Linked DNA regions of Caenorhabditis elegans. The protein of the gene in region 2 purifies or fractionates together with the protein of the main gene of each other region. This does not show direct contact. Each region holds a gene or a part of one and is shown on either strand. Other genes may lie near its edges.

Region 1 (5,492 bases), on a different chromosome or scaffold from region 2:
TGACGAAAAAAAAAAGAAGAAAAACTTTCATGGGAGGAGTGCAGAACGAAGCAGGAGAGAAATCAGAGAAATGGGTCCGTTTTGATAGTTCGCAGTGAAATAAAACTGAGTGAAAATGAGCCGAAAATTGTTGGCGGCAACGGTGACAAGTGATAGAAAATGGTATTTTAACCGCCCGCGCGCCATGATTTTAGGTCAATAGTCTTACAAGAGCACGTGAATTTCATGTGAAAATGTTGCAGCGCAAAGAAAAATGTTCAGGCCGAAACAAATTCAATGGCCAAGATTGCACTCGCGTCAGAACAATGGCTTCCATGCACACTTCAAACCTACAAGACCGAGTTTCCAATCCTAGGGATCCATTTTTAAACTTTTTGTGTTTATGAAGCCATCGTTTTAGGGCGGTAATATATAAATATTTACAAGATCCAGTTAAATATACTATTTAGCTGCGACAAATACGAAGAGGGTACAAGATTGCTAAACATTCAAATATATTTCAACGTACCAAATAAATTTTTACGATTTATTCCAGAGGTGGATTAGCACAAAAATGATGAGAAAAAGTAACAAACAACCGTGTTTATTATAATAGAAAAATTAACAATAAACAATCTTGACAGAATTACATCTTGTCGAGATAGTTGTCAAGGGCTGGGACACCTTCCTTGAGCCCCTTTCTCTTTCTGGTGTCCAAAACGATCTGGTTTGGCTTGGTTCCGGCCTCAAGCGGGTCTCCTGGAAGCACCTGCCAATGGTCGAACACGCATTGTGGGAAGGCTTGTCCTCCGGTGTTGGAGCGGAGATCGGCGGTGAATCCGAAGGACTCGTTGACAGGCAAGTAAGCCTTGACGACGAACATTGGAGTTCCTGTGACCTGAGACTCCTCGAAAACGTGTCCTCTTCTTCTGTTCAACACTCCGTAGATACCTAAAATAAATAAGTAATATAAAAACGTATAAGTTTTGAAAATATGCAACATACCTCCAACGGCGGCTTCTGGGCATTGAATTTCGACCAAGTAGACTGGCTCGAGAAGACGTGGCTCGGCGGTAAGAACCGAAGCGTAGAACACACGACGGGCAGTTGGGATGATTTGACCACCTCCTCTGTGGATAGCGTCAGCGTGGAGGGTGACATCGTGAACGTTGAAGCGAACTCCGCGCATGTTTTCGTCGGAAAGAACTCCTTCGCGAGTGGCCCATTGGAATCCAGCGACAACGGAGTCCTTGATTTCATTGAGGTATTGCACTCCTTTGGTGACGTCCATCAAGAGATTTGGTCCAGTTCCGTCTGGTCCGAAGCACCAGATCTTACGGGCTTCAGTGACGTCGTATTCGTACTTCTCGGCGAGGATCTTGGCACGAGCCTTGAACTCATCACGAGCGTTGACGGTTCCTCCTTCGATATCATCGGCGAGACCATCTGGCATTGGCTGAGCGGTACAGTGAAGACGATTGTGCTTATTTGGAGATTTGGACAAGCAGATCTGGTTAGACTCGGATTGAACAGTTTCACGGTAAGAGACGACCGGGTCAGACTTCTTGAGTGGAATGCAAGCGTGGTCCTCCTCCAAATCCTTCAGACAGATTTCCAAGTGAAGCTCTCCAGCTCCGGCGATGATGTGTTCTCCGGATTCTTCGAAGATACATTGGACCATAGGATCGGACTTGGCAAGACGTTTGAGTCCTTCGACGAGCTTTGGAAGATCAGCTGGGTTCTTAGCTTCGACGGCAACACGGACGACTGGAGATACGGAGAACTTCATGACACGCATGTTGTGGGCATCCTTGTAAGTGGTGATGGTTCCTCCCTTGACGAGGTATTGATCGACTCCAACAAGTCCAGCGATGTTTCCGGATGGAATATCCTCAATTGGCTCGATGAAACGTCCCATCATAAGAATGGTACGCTGAATGGTCTTCTCATAGAGATCTTCCTTCTTTCCTGGAACGTAGTTTGGTCCTTGAATGCGAGCCTTCATTCCAGTGGCGACCTTTCCGGAGAACACACGTCCGAAAGCGTAGAAACGTCCCTTATCGGAAGTTGGCACCATCTTGGAGATGTACATCATGAGTGGTCCATTTGGATCACAGGTCTTGATAGCAACGGCGGCCTCGTCGTCGTGTGGTCCTTCGTAGAGCATCTCCATTCTGTATTTTTGAGCAGTCACTGGGGATGGAAGATGGAAAGCGATCATCTGGAGCATAGTGTCTCCGGCTGGAAGCCACTTGCGCATGAAGACCTTCATGAGTGGTTTTCCTTCCAAATCCTTCTCGTCGTTGGCGAGCTTGATTCCGAGCTTCTCAACAAGAGCAGCGGTCTTGTCCTTCTTGATGTTCATGACGGCGTCGAAGACCATGAAGATTGGGTCAAGAACGAATTGGCAGAATCCACGCTTGCTCTCATCGGTCTGAGTACTGCTCCACTTCTTGGTCTTGAGATCGAAGAAACGATCTCCCCAGAGGTTCTTCATGAGCTTGTCAACCTGTAAAAATATTTTATATAATTTTAACATACAACAATCAATTTACTTGAACTCCGAACTTTCCGGCGTACATCTCAGCGAACTGCTTGAGGGTGAAGGCCCATCCGTGGAGTCCAGATCCGAATCCGACGTTTCCGATAGATGGATCAACCATGATTGGTCCCATCGGTCCATCGTCGTCTCCGTAAGTGGCAATGATGACGTTGATGTTTTCAACGATACGCTAAACGACAAATATATAACAATGTTACAGTTGAAACACAAAGCTTACTTGGAAGGTTTGGAAAAGTTCCTCGGCTCCGAGTTGAAGTTCGAGAAGGGCACGGTCCATCTTGTTCATGAAAAGAACTGGCTTGATACGCTCAGCAATAGCCTGACGCAGCACAGTCTCGGTTTGGACACACACTCCGGAAACACAATCGACGACGACGAGAGCTCCATCAGTAACACGAAGAGCAGCAGTAACTTCAGACGAGAAGTCAACGTGACCGGGTGAATCGATCAAATTGATCAAGAAACCGTTGTATTTCTCTTTCTTTCCATCAACCTCAACCGTCTCGAATTGGTTTTCTCCCTTGACGAACTCCAAATCCTTCTTCTCGAGCTCGAAGAAAAGAGAGATAGCACTAAAACAATATTATATTTAAGCTGAAATCCTAAAAATGAACTTACGTAGATTTGATGGTAATACAACGCTCCTGCTCATCCTTACGAGTGTCAGTGAAACGAGTCTCTCCAGCCTTGGATCCGGCAATAATACCGGCTTTGGAAACGAGTGAATCGGTAAGGGTAGATTTTCCGTGATCGACGTGAGCAATAACAGACATGTTACGAATGTTACGCTTGCGATCCATAAGCGCACGGATCTCATCGACCGTGAAGTTGACCTGAAGAGGAAAAAATAATTATTTCAATCGATAAAAATTATGAAATTTTACCTAACGAAATTTTTTCTGAAAATCCATAATTTAATTCAGATTTTGATAATACTGAATGGTTCTCAGTTGAAATTTAATTTAATTAACATATCCGGGAACGAAATCTCAGTAGGCCCAAAATTTGCTAATTTCATTTAATTATTTTGAAACTTTACGTTTTTGTCCTAAATTTTTTTCGAAAATAATAGACGACAATTCATCAGAACGTACAGTTACAATAATTAGAGGGATAAATACTCACCATTTTTAGTTTTTTGTAGGGTTCTCTTCAGATACAACAACAAAAAAGGACCGCACAGAGGATAGCGGCGTGACAAGAGTAAAGAAATTTGCGTTGTCAACTCCTCCAGCAAGATCTGTTAGATGTGCAGGCAAAGTACGGTAGAGCGCCAATTCAAACACTTGGCGCTCTGCCAACCAATTCATTTTCGCGCCTACTTTTGAATCTTAATGCCATTTTTTCCTTATTTTTCTACAAAAAATTGTCAAATCTGTTTAACTTTTTCTTAATAAAGTCAAAAAAGGGCCATTACATTTATCATAATGTTGTACTTTATAACTGACCGAAGAAAATCACGCTCTATAGACTGAAATTTTCCAAACTTCTTTTTAATATTGTTTTAGTTTAATTTCCAGATGAATTCTGATTCCTGTTCAACAAAAACCGTGTCAGCAGACGATACAGATTCTCCATCTTCTCTAGTTGCCGAACACACCATGTCCGATTCCCAGGTAATGGTTTTAAGACCGAAACTGGATCGAAATACATATTTCAGGAGCAGCTGATATCTAGTGAAAACACGGAAGTCGATAAGCAAGCTGAAGAAGACCGAAAACTTCGTCGTCTTAATCGTCGTAAAGCACTGGCTTTAGAACGAAGTCCTCTTCCTGTTCCGAAGCTTGGGAGAGTCCTATTATCTGCCAATAGTACGATTGACCTGACAAATGAAGATGATGACCCAAGTAACAAATGGTTCAAAAAGACGTTTAATGCTGAAAAAATTCCGAAATTGGCAAAAAGTCCGGAAGAAGCTAAATTATTCGCCGTTCCTCGAAAAATATCGAAGAACGCACCCAAGAGCCGTTAGTTTCGTTCGTAATAATTCTGATTTAACTTACTTTTTCCAGTTCTGACCAGCGAGACTTTAAAAAAGAAGCTTCAAGCTTCGATGTCAGCGAAGCGACGGAAAGGTATCGGCTTCGTGTTAAATTTTTACAATTTTTGAGTTTTCAGAACAAGAGCAACGTCGGAAAATGTATGAAGAGGATAATGAACATCTGAAGGCTGGCAGTGATGAAGAAGAGGAAGAAGATGTCGTTTTTAAAAAAAAGAAGGGAAAGAAACCTGTGAATGAAGAAGAATATAAAAGCGAAGATGATGAAGACTATGAACCTGAAAATAGCGGAGAAGAAGATTCAGATGAGAAGAATAATGGCCGAGCCGACGATGAAATGAGTGTGAACTTGTTGAATGACTCGTTTACTTACGATGTTTTCAATAATGTGAAGAGATCAGGACCTGGATCAACTGTTTCAAATTTCGACTCGTTAGTGTTTCATCTAAATTTATTTTCTGCGGTTTTTGTGTAACATATGTGTCAGATCTTTCAAAGAAATCTCTGATTGATAGAGTTTTTATAAATAAAATTTAGGCGTTCCGAAGCAGATGTTGTTGAAAAAAATGGAGTAGTTCAACTGCCGACAATGACGGAAATTACTGGCGGATCCAACGATATTCTCAATTTGTGCCCTGGAAGTTTTGGAGTTTCACAGTCTGCTGGTTTTCCAGACACTTTGCAAATGTTGATAGAAGAAGACACGACTGAAAGAAAAATGTATGTTTTAGAAAACTTAATCTCATTCCGGAAAATCTGAAATTGGAGCCCTTTTTCTTTTCCTTGAAACTATTCGCATTCTCAAAGAAAAAGTTTATCAAATCATTAAACAAAAGATAATTTGTTGTAAATCTTTTAAATAGAGAACTTGATAATTCTTTCTCATAAATTTAGAGAGGTTTTTTGGATCTCGTTCCTTTATCAAATCTTGATTATCGATAGAGCGCGCTT
Region 2 (4,065 bases):
AAATCCATTGTCGTCTTCTTCTTCATTATCATCATCATCATCGTCCGATTTGTCGCCGGATGCATCAGCTCCAAGCCAAGCTCCGCGTTGTCTGTAACAGAAATACTTGCATTGAATTATGATAAATTGTTTATTTACCTTTTTGGAACACTAGATGTGGCTGATTCGGTTTCTTGTCTTTCCAGTGCCTCTTCGAGAAGCTGCTTACGAGCTTCATTCAAGATTTTTGATGAGAGCGAATCAGGAACGAACTGAAACTAATTTTATGAACTCTCTGGTCAATGAAAATAATATTTAATTTTCCCTGAATATTTACTGACCTCGTCTGTCTGCGAGTCTTCCCTTTTTCTCTTCTGCTTTTCGCGAAGCTCATCTCGTTGCTTTGCAACTTTACCAGCTTCCAACTGGTTATCCAGTGGAGCATTGGCTGATAATTTGTCACCCCTTCCTTTCAAATTCCTTTTCACCATGTTACTGGAAATTCATAATTAAAAATTAGCAGAATTACGGTGTTCAATATATTCTGAAAGGATCAGAAGCCTGTTCATAAGATTTAAAATGAATGTAACATACGCAATTTCATTATTTTCCAGAAAAAGAGAACGCCAGACAAAAACATTTTGTCAAACAAAACCAAGGTGGCTCTATAACTTTTAGGGGGCAATACTAAACTCTAAATTGAAAGAGAATTAGAATGTTTGAACCAAGTTGGATGGGATAGGGCCAGTACTAAAAAGGGGTGATTAAAAAGATGAAATCACGCATAAAATAAAAATGTGGGACGGTGGGGGTGGAGGAGAAAACAGATAACATGGATAAATATGAGGAAACAAGAGGAAGGGAAAAGCGTGTGGAACAATCGTGGAGGGGATCGGAATTGGATTAAAATTTAGATGAGGTCAGCGATTGATTCTGGCATCTCTTCGATTTGAGTGGTGTAGTAGCTTTCAATTTCCTTGAGCTGACGAGCATCGTTCTCGGTGACGAAGTTGATGGCAACTCCCTTACGACCGAAACGTCCAGAACGTCCGATACGATGGATGTAGTTCTCACGATTGGATGGGAGATCATAGTTGATAACAAGTGAGACCTAAAATATATACATTCCATAGTATTGAATTATAAACACAAATATTTATACTTACCTGTTGTACGTCAATACCACGAGCCAAGATGTCTGTGGTGATGAGAACACGGGAAGATCCTGAACGGAACTCTCGCATAATTGTATCACGCTCAGCTTGATCCATGTCTCCGTGGAGGCAAGAGACTGTGAACTGATTTTCAGTCATTTTCTCGGTGAGTGTGTCGACCTTCCTGCGAGTGTTACAGAAGATGACGGCTTGAGTAACATTGACAACGTTGTAGAGATCACAGAGGCAGTCAAACTTCCACTCCTGAAAAAATGGTTCATGAAAACAATTTCTTAGACTGGGCGAGTAAACTTACATCCTTTTGAACGTTGATGTAGAACTGTCTGATACCTTCAAGGGTGAGCTCGTCCTTCTTGACAAGAATGCGGATTGGATTGCGCATGAAACGATTAGTGACATCAAGAACTTCAGATGGCATAGTAGCCGAAAGAAGGACTACTTGAACGTCTTGTGGCATGGAACGGAAAACCTCGTAGATCTGATCCTTGAAACCTCTAGAAAGCATTTCGTCGGCCTCGTCGAGAACGAACATCTTAATTCTGGATGTGTCAAGAGCATTTCTATTGATCATGTCTCCAACACGTCCTGGAGTTCCGACAACGACGTGAATTCCGGCTTCGAGTTTTCGTTGATCGTCGCGAACACTGGTTCCACCGATACATGGAAGAATGTTAACGTTGAGGTACTCTCCGAGGGCGCTCATGACCTTTTGGATCTACAAAGAAAGATTTTGAAAAGTTTTCTTTAAAAGTATCTGCTAATAATCTATAACTAAAATACACTGAGTGAGAAAGTTTACCTGTTGAGCCAATTCTCTGGTTGGGGCCATAACGAGAGCTTGCACGTGTGGATCCTCGTGGTCGATTCTCTGAAGAATAGAGACCGAGAAAGTTGCAGTCTTTCCAGTTCCAGATTGGGCTTGAGCGATGACGTCCTTTCCAGTGGTGCATGGAACAATTGCGCGCTTTTGAATAGCAGATGGCTTTTCGAAACCGAATCCGTAGATTCCGCGAAGAAGCTCCTCCTTGAGCTCCATGTCGTCGAAAGATTCGACGACTTGATCATAGTTTCCCTAAAATTGAATGTATTCAAATTATAATAAATTATGTACATTAACTAACCTCGATCAAGCCGTCGGCATCGACCACCGAAGATACGTTCACATCATTTTTAACATCGGTCATGACAGGTGGGTTGAAAAGTTAAAAATTAACTTTTGGAAGTGCGATTGAGTTTCTGAAATTGAAGTAAAATGAAATTTCGAAAGTATTTCAGCATTAAATACAAAGATAAGGGTGTTGAAATAGTTCTTCAATAATAATAATTGCGAAATACAGTATCTCAATCCTAAAATTTTCGAATAAACCCATCCAAAAGAAATGAAAGAAAAGTTTCGACCTAAAAACCTTTGTTTTTTTGAGAAAAAGCATTTGAAATAAATATATTCTTAACACGAAAAGCATAAAAAACGTTTAAAAAAGCTTTAAAATCTAAAAAGAGGCTAAGAAACCGCCCCAAAACCGGGCCAAATCATTCGAACAAGAGTGACGGGTCTCGAAGCGAAGAGAGTGTTCATTAGAGCGCACATTCATACCATCAATTTTTTTTGAAGAAAAATGGCTCTTTTTTATTTGACCAATTCAATTCTTTATAATTTTTATGTACATTTGGTTATACACATTTTTGAATTCATTTTTAAAATAATTTTAATGATATAGATTCAAAATCTATACTTTTTCCGTTTTTTGAATGCAACCTGCGTAAAAAAAAGACGAGTAATCACTAACACTGACGACAGTGACATGCACTTAAAAGTGGTTCGAAATTTAAAAAATTAATTTGGATTTTTGAAGCCAAAGTAAATAATAAGGAAAGTTAGAAGGCTGAGTGTGTATGAGGTCCTCATAAAGAAAGTGAGAAATGTTGGTTGAACGATGAGAGAGCACAGCGAGCAGACTGGTCAATTTAGGCAAATGAGCGCGACGAATGAGAGTAAGAGCCGTAGAGAGCACAGCGTGCGGTGTTCCAGACGCGATGAATAAGAGAGAAACGAGAAGAACACCATCTGCTCTTCAAAAACACCTGTTGACACCGAATTAGGGGCTTGGTTAAATGCCAAAAACTGCATTGTTCGTGGATTAGGAAGAAATTGACCTATGTAGACTGTTTTGTATTGTGAACAAGAATAAATATTAAATACAGAGAAGAAAAGGTATCTGAAATCAAATAAAAAAAAGAGATCAAATTCATTGTCATGTTCACAGGCCATAAAAATCCTGAATTTTGCGGAAGGCTGTTCTCCCTCATTTCCCTCCTCCTCACTCAACCCTCACACATATTGACATAAATCTCGAAAGACGGAATCCGCGCGGACACAACGCGCGTTGGAAACATTACACTCATTTTCACTGCTGCTTCCTCTCTGTTCGTTATTGATTTTTCGCCATTTAAAATATTCAAATTCTCCTTTCTTGTGCACACACCATAAACACATACAATTTTCAGAAATCATGAGCTCATACCCATCCAGTGGTCGCCGGCGACCTATCACCCGATCAGAAGCCGAAGAAAGAGCATTAGACAAAATTTCCAGAGAGGTATCTTAACAATTTGAAAAATTCGAATTAAAAACTAAAAGTTTTAGGCGGAAGCTCGAATGAAATTGAAACGAGAAACACGAGAACAAGCCCGACAAGGAAGATATCAGTTGTTAGAAAAAAAAGTTGAAGAAGATGCGGAAGCTTATCGTCATGATACTGCTGTAAGTCGATTATTAACGAGAATGCACGTTTGACGTTGAAGTTTTACTCTCGAAACTACGTTTTTCATTTTCAGTAACCCTTCGTTTTTAATATTAATAAATTTTCGTTGAAAAAGTTCAAAAAGTATCCTGATTTCCATAAATTATTCT
Region 3 (3,461 bases), on a different chromosome or scaffold from region 2:
AAGATCTGCTTTCGAGCGAATATGATGCTCACCGAGCAACTCGGAAGTGTAGAGAACACGTGATATTGCGGATGAATGCTCGAGGTGTTGCTCACGGTCGGGTTGCTGCAGTGATGAAGTCCCAGAAATGTTGAGATCTTCAACCTGACGTCTCTCTTCTTCCAGCTCTCGTTTTGCAATCATTTGAATTCTTCGTTTTCCAGCATTTTGTTGAGGTTCATTCTTCTGCATCCGTTTGAAAGCAGCCTGAGCAGCAATATCAGCGGCCGCGACACGATCAATTTGGCCTCCCTGGGCGGCTCCAGCGTGGGCAGAAGGCTGCGAAGATGACTCGCCGGATGACAAACGAACACCTTCACCGCTCTTTTTGAAGTGATTCTGGACTCGCTTTTTGTTGAGGAATTTCTTGAAACTATTCATTCTTCTTTCTCTGAAATAAATTGGAATGGTTATCAGTGCAGAACTTGTTAAATATCTTACTATTTTTTTCGTTGCTCTTATTTCTCGCTTTCTCAATGTTCTCTCTTATGATAAACTCCTGAATGATTGGTGAATATCGATTCCACGCAATGATAGTGCCAACAGAGAAGATGAAAAGTAGAATAGAAAGAAAGAGTCCGAGAGCTACCTGAAATTTTCAAATTTTGGCCATTTTAGACAGAAACAAGAACAATAATTCACGTTAAAATTTCGAAAATCTCAAAAACATGTTCTCTAACGCACTTGTTTTTTATCCAACGAATAATTATCACAGAAGATAATCAAAGCACGATAAACGTTTTCTACTCCGAATGCTTCTGAGGAATCTGGAAGCGCGTCGGAGCTCTGATAAGCAACTGAATTTGTGCTCAACGGAGTCTGCTCAGTTGTCGGCTCGGCGACCAGAGGCTCTCCCATGCAAGAATAGCTGGAATTGTAGTTCTTTTTCAGAGAGATTTGCGGAAATTAATGATTGCGAAATAGGACAGAAGGCGATGACGACATTTGTGATATTGCACGGTGATAAACATATATTTTGGGTTGTATACAAACTTCAAACTTCATTTCAGAAAATTTGAAAAAAAGCTCATCTCGAAAACGCTATAAAAAACTTGGAGTTTTTCTATTGGAGAAAACTAAACTGGGGAAAGCTTTCGGACAGAAAAATATTATCTGCTGTATTTTTCATGATGTCGTTAATTTTGTGACTTAATAAACTACAAAAAAATGTAGGTAAAACACTTTTGCGTGAAAAGTTTGTGATTGTTTTCCCAAAATACGTTTTTGCGGTTAAATGTTCGTTTTGAGATGTTTATCTTACAATTCTTTTATATTTTGGACAATAATTATATTCTATGAAGTAATCTTTGATTCTGAATAACTTTTTTCCGAAAACAATTCGTTAAAACAACAAAATTTTAGAGAGAAAAATAAAAAATAAGCAAAATAAAAAATAAAAATAGCGAGTGTCGTAAATTGTGTCGCCAAGTCCGCAGTTACGTAACCTCGCGCCGCGCTCTTGCGATAGCAAACCCCGCCCACTTTTCTGTGCACTCCACATTTTCGTCGATTTTTCATTGAAATTTTTCTTCTGTTATTTTGTTTATTTTTGTCGATTGACGACATAATTTTAATCTCAAGCGCTGATAAAATTATTATTTCCAATTTTTAGAAATCACTTTTCATCAAAATACTCACGAAATCCAAGCAAACTGTTTATTTTGGGATAGTATACTCATTCTTCTTAATTTTTTGTTAAATTCCATTGAAATCTGACATTACCTTATGCATATTTATGTTCTTGTTTTTTCTACAATTTTTGCAGTCCTCTTTGCTTCTGTATTTCTCGTAACTTCAACTTTCCAAATTATTTCGTAATATTTTCAGCAATGCCGAAGAATAAGGGAAAGGGAGGAAAGAATCGCAGAAGAGGAAAGAATGAGAACGACTTCATGAAGCGCGAGCTCGACCTCAAGGAGGAGGGACAAGGTAGATTTTATAACTTCTTTCCCGAAAAACAAAAGCATTAATTCCAGAATATGGACAAGTCTCAAAAATGCTTGGTAACGGTCGTGTTCAAGTGTTCTGTTTTGATGGAAAGCAGCGTGTCTGCCATATTCGTGGAAAGTTGAGGAAGAAGGTTTGGATCAACGTGGGAGATATCATTCTCGTCGGTCTCCGAGATTATCAAGACGACAAGGGAGATGTTATTCTGAAGTACACCCCAGATGAAGCTCGCCGTTTGAAGAACGAGGGACTTATCCCAGAAAACGCCAAGCTCAATGAGAACGATGAACAAGACGAGGGAGAGGTTGAGTTCTGTAAGTTTATTTTTGCTGAAAATTAATGAAGTTCAATTTTTTTTCAGTGGATCACGTCGGAGACGAGGGAGAGGCCGGAGAAGCAAAGTCTGACTCAGATTCATCAGACAGTGATTCGGAGAAGTCTGACGAAGAGGCAGGATCGGATAAGGAAGAAGAATCGGACGATGATTCTGAAGAGGAATCAGACGAAGATTCAGATGATTCGGACAATATTCGGGAAGAGGACTTGGCAGCTGGTCGTGGATTTAAAGAGGACACTCGTCGCGGCGGAAATCGTGGTGGCAAGAACAAGTACGGAAAGAGACGCTAAATTGATTAAATTATTGGTTTTTAATTGTTTCCCCCGGTTTCTGTTCTTTCTCCCCCTAAAAATCCATTGTTTCTCTTTCGATCCTTTTCAGACATTATCTTCCCATCTTCTCTGTCTCCCGAAATTCCGTTACTTGAATGCTACAAAGTGAAATAATTCGATTGTGGTGTCCGATGATCAACACAACCTCAAGGTTTCGGTCCATCGGACACCACTTGATGAAACAACTCATTTATTGCAAATTATCCCGTATTCCACTATTTTCCTTTCATTTATATTGTTTTCTGATAAACTTTTCTTGTTATGGGTTTAAAGCAGCACACAACTCTCGACCTTCAAACCGAAAAGCAGGTGAAACATTTGCATCAAAATGTCACAACTCGCGGCCACGTGTATTCATATAGTAAAAATTATTTATTTCAGTTATTTTAAGCTGAATTTGAATGAAATGATTGACAGAGTGCTTCTTTATAACTTATCAACTTCTGCATTTCCCAGCTATGATAATGCGACTAGAATTGATTTATATTTCTTTCTTATAGCTGTTGAGCAAGTTTTAGCTTTGAAAATCCCGTAATATTACCGTCAAATTCCAGAAAGTTTGTCCATCCATCAATAATCATTAATATTGTAATTTCATCAATTGGGATTTTTACAACATCATTCCATTTATTCGTTTTATCTCGAAATTCAATGTTAAAATCGTCCGTAATCTTGATAATGATAGGAATCGCTATTTGTGATATATTAGTGATGTTTGTCTCTATTATTTATAACTATCTTTATTTGATTTTGGAATTTAATGTGAAACCCTGGTAAAGTACATTTATTCAAAAGCTTAGTTCCAC
Region 4 (3,129 bases), on a different chromosome or scaffold from region 2:
GATTTTTTTTTTCTTAAATTTCCTCTGATTTTCGAAATTTCGGGGATTTTTTTAGAATTTTAGAAAAAATTACAATTTTCGCTGAAAATCCGCAGACTTTCCGTATCTTTTCAGCTGTGAAAACTAAGAAACCACAAGGAACAATTATTTTTATTTTTCTTAATTTTTCAGCAAAGAGCTTCAATCTCAGCGGCTCCGTCTCTGCTCGCCACTTGCACAAACGTTGGCGGCTCCCAGTACACGTGGACGATCCTTGGCAGAATTTTGCAGTTCGTCGATTGCAGATTTTAATTTCTAATTTCCCCCAATTTTTTTTTTGAATATTCTCCTCCCTAGAGATACTCGCCCATTGCAATATTTTCGTCTTTCCATAACCTGCCACGTGTATATTTTCGCAATTTATGAACTCTTTCTGTTAAATTAACTCTAATAAATCGCTTGACGTTCCACGTGACCAGTTTCCCGGAGGAGAATACCGGTCAATTGCGTAGCTTGGCTAACCAATTACTGCACTTTTGACATAGCAGCGGTAGCAGCAGCAGCATTGAAACGAAAATGATGACAAGTGTGAATTTTCATAAATATTGAGGGAAATCAAATAACTTAGCAGTATAGTCGCACAGGGGAAAATACAATAGAAGATCGAAAAACGAAACGATTTTAGAGGACTTGTTCGATGTGCGGTGGGAAAGAGAGATGTGGAGTTGGTGTCTGCACGAATGGGAATCCTGGTTTGTCGGGACGGAACAGCTCGAACTGTGAGCCGGCTTTGTTGATCACGGCGAGACGGACAACTCCGCCGGAGGATCCGTCACGGAAGGTGGCGAGTCCGACGGCTTGCTTCACGATCGCCTTGCACTCCTCGAGCGTCAAGTTTGGTCTCCATTGACTGTCGAGGAAGCCCTGCACGAATGTGGAACCGGAGCCGGAAGCTGTCGATCGCTGGCGGGACACGAATCCTCCGATTGGGATTGCGTAGACCTGGCCGCCGAGCTCCTCATCCCAGCCGGCGACGAGCACTGAGGCGGAGAGCTGCTCGCGGTAGTTGTAGAGGAATTGGCGGAAAATCTGGCTCGAGCGGTAGATTGTCACTGGCTTGTTCTCTGTCATGCTGAAAAAAGTGATTATTTAAAAAAATTATTTTATTTAATTTTAAAACAACTGAAAATTCCTTACGTATAAACATCAATATGGTACTTGGCAATATCGGCGATCGCTTGAGTGTCCGCTGCAGATCCAGAACGGCACACAACCATATTATCGGTGATCGGGGTGATTTTGTTGGTGGCACGGGAGGTGATGAACGAGCCGGCGCTGGTTCTCGAGTCGGTTCCGACGACAACTCCACCGTTGTACTCCATAGCGATGAGAGTGGTCTGAAAATTGAGCTTTTAGTGGAAATTTCAATTTAAAAATCTCACTCCAGTGCTGATTTCTTCCTGTGGATAGAACCCGATTGCCGGAATGGCTTTGCGCTTCTCATCTCGCATAGTATCCATTATCTGCAAAATATCGACTTAAATTCATTTTTTAAAAGTTATTTTAACGTTAAGAAATCAATAATAATGTATAAAAACAAATTTAGTAGTTATTTTTCAGAATAAAATCATTAAAAACGAGAAACCCGAGCAGAAAAAACATTGTCATCAAATCTCAATGCAGCAAAAATGACGTTTGAATTGGCGCTCCACCGGACTGCCTGCACATCTAACTTTCCTGGCACGCGGCCAACATTCGATTTTGGGACGATCGACACGTTCTGGCCACATTTTCTTTGATTTTTTCTGATTTCGCCGACTTTTTTCCCGTTAAAACTGGTTTTTATAACTAGTTTTCCATGTATTTATTAGTTTTTGTCATGTTAGTCACTGAATATCCATGATTTCTCGCCCTCACTGTCTTGGATTTTTGTTTCTCTGAATTTTCGCCATTTTTGATTGAAATTGTGACATTCAACCGTTTATTTTTTTGTAATTCCTCGCAACTGATAATTTCTTTTTTCTAAAATCAATTATTTGCAGTAATGTCGGACAGAAATTGCTACAAGTGCCAACAGCCGGGACATATCTCCCGCAACTGCCCGAATGGCGAGTCCGATGGTGGACGTAGAGGAGGTGGAGGAGGTGGAGTGGTGTTGAATTTGGGGTGTTGAGTTGATTTAGGTAAATACATTATCTCTTGATTTCTTACCGAATTGCAATAATTTTTGAAGTTCTGGAGAAGTGGAGGCGAAGAGAAATGTGTTTAAGCTGGCGGAGATTAGGAGTTATTTGATGATAAATTTACAGCGGAAATCTCGAGACTAATTTCATGTTATTTCAGGATCCACCTGCTACAACTGCCAAGAGACTGGACACTTCTCTCGCGATTGCCCCAAGGGAGGATCCGGAGGAGGACAACGTGGAGGTGGCGGCGGCGGTGGATCGTGCTACAACTGCGGAGGACGTGGACACTACTCTCGTGACTGCCCATCCGCCAGATCTGAGGGAGGAAGCGGTGGCTACGGAGGCCGCGGTGGAGAAGGCAGAAGCTTCGGCGGACAAAAGTGCTACAATTGCGGACGCTCCGGGCACATTTCCCGCGAGTGCACCGAGAGTGGCTCGGCCGAGGAGAAGCGTTGCTACCAGTGCCAGGAGACCGGACACATCTCCCGCGACTGCCCAAGCCAGACCAACTAAATCAATCATCATTCCCCCCATTTTCGTTGTCTTTTCATTGTTCTGTAACTCGAAATAATGTATTCAACTGAAACTTTCGTTCACTCCTTTTTCCAATAATCCTCTTCCCCGCATCTCAAATATTATATGTGAATGCTGGTTGCAGCTATTATCCCCCATCCCAACCTCTGAACCTCTTGAACGAAAGTGGTAATAAATTGTTGATTAAAGTCGTCGTCTTGCGCTCCTCCTCTTTCGCATCGGAAGTGAAGGCGACGTGATGCTCTCACATGGGTTTCCATAGCAACGCGCGCTCTCGCCGAGCAACTCGCGCTGCTCATTCACTCACTTTCGCATATTCTGCGGGAGCCTCGAACAATGAGCTGTTGTTTTTCGAAAAAGCTTTTTGGGCGCCGGTCTAAACGTGAGGATCGCTACAAGGTCAGCGAGGATGCGGTGCCGAAACCGGAAG

The links.
Region 1: the proteins of inf-1 (region 2) and eef-2 fractionate together in Caenorhabditis elegans (co-fractionation; one large-scale study listed by BioGRID). This does not show direct contact.
Region 3: the proteins of inf-1 (region 2) and eif-1.A fractionate together in Caenorhabditis elegans (co-fractionation; one large-scale study listed by BioGRID). This does not show direct contact.
Region 4: the proteins of inf-1 (region 2) and pbs-1 fractionate together in Caenorhabditis elegans (co-fractionation; one large-scale study listed by BioGRID). This does not show direct contact.

Annotation. Positions count from the first base shown.
Region 1 is NC_003279.8:9,161,832-9,167,323, reverse strand, and holds eef-2 (Elongation factor 2), read right to left. Parts: upstream 3,748-5,492; 5' UTR 3,671-3,747; coding exon 3,668-3,670; intron 3,376-3,667; coding exon 3,161-3,375; intron 3,115-3,160; coding exon 2,760-3,114; intron 2,712-2,759; coding exon 2,535-2,711; intron 2,489-2,534; coding exon 985-2,488; intron 931-984; coding exon 626-930; 3' UTR 514-625; downstream 1-513. Other genes in the region: clsp-1 (Claspin), read left to right, coding at 4,063-4,158, 4,203-4,509, 4,555-4,617, 4,661-4,973, 5,079-5,261. UniProt on the Caenorhabditis elegans protein: Catalyzes the GTP-dependent ribosomal translocation step during translation elongation.
Region 2 is NC_003281.10:6,928,410-6,932,474, reverse strand, and holds inf-1 (Eukaryotic initiation factor 4A), read right to left. Parts: upstream 2,342-4,065; 5' UTR 2,339-2,341; coding exon 2,276-2,338; intron 2,227-2,275; coding exon 1,954-2,226; intron 1,870-1,953; coding exon 1,450-1,869; intron 1,398-1,449; coding exon 1,146-1,397; intron 1,091-1,145; coding exon 890-1,090; 3' UTR 522-889; downstream 1-521. Other genes in the region: Cell adhesion protein byn-1, read right to left, coding at 1-91, 139-251, 321-470; flap-1 (Leucine-rich repeat flightless-interacting protein 2), read left to right, coding at 3,665-3,751, 3,799-3,915. UniProt on the Caenorhabditis elegans protein: ATP-dependent RNA helicase which is a subunit of the eIF4F complex involved in cap recognition and is required for mRNA binding to ribosome.
Region 3 is NC_003282.8:4,809,068-4,812,528, forward strand, and holds eif-1.A (Eukaryotic translation initiation factor 4C), read left to right. Parts: upstream 1-1,866; 5' UTR 1,867-1,868; coding exon 1,869-1,968; intron 1,969-2,015; coding exon 2,016-2,300; intron 2,301-2,347; coding exon 2,348-2,613; 3' UTR 2,614-2,916; downstream 2,917-3,461. Other genes in the region: ubxn-6 (UBX domain-containing protein 6), read right to left, coding at 1-420; H06H21.37 (uncharacterized protein), read right to left, coding at 417-430, 481-628, 724-897; srw-95 (G-protein coupled receptors family 1 profile domain-containing protein), read left to right, coding at 3,062-3,162, 3,210-3,428.
Region 4 is NC_003282.8:1,708,244-1,711,372, forward strand, and holds pbs-1 (Proteasome subunit beta), read right to left. Parts: upstream 1,503-3,129; 5' UTR 1,500-1,502; coding exon 1,422-1,499; intron 1,377-1,421; coding exon 1,177-1,376; intron 1,112-1,176; coding exon 661-1,111; 3' UTR 560-660; downstream 1-559. Other genes in the region: pugs-4 (C6 domain-containing protein), read left to right, coding at 172-291; K08D12.3 (CCHC-type domain-containing protein), read left to right, coding at 2,024-2,123, 2,323-2,678; rpi-2 (Protein XRP2), read left to right, coding at 3,036-3,129.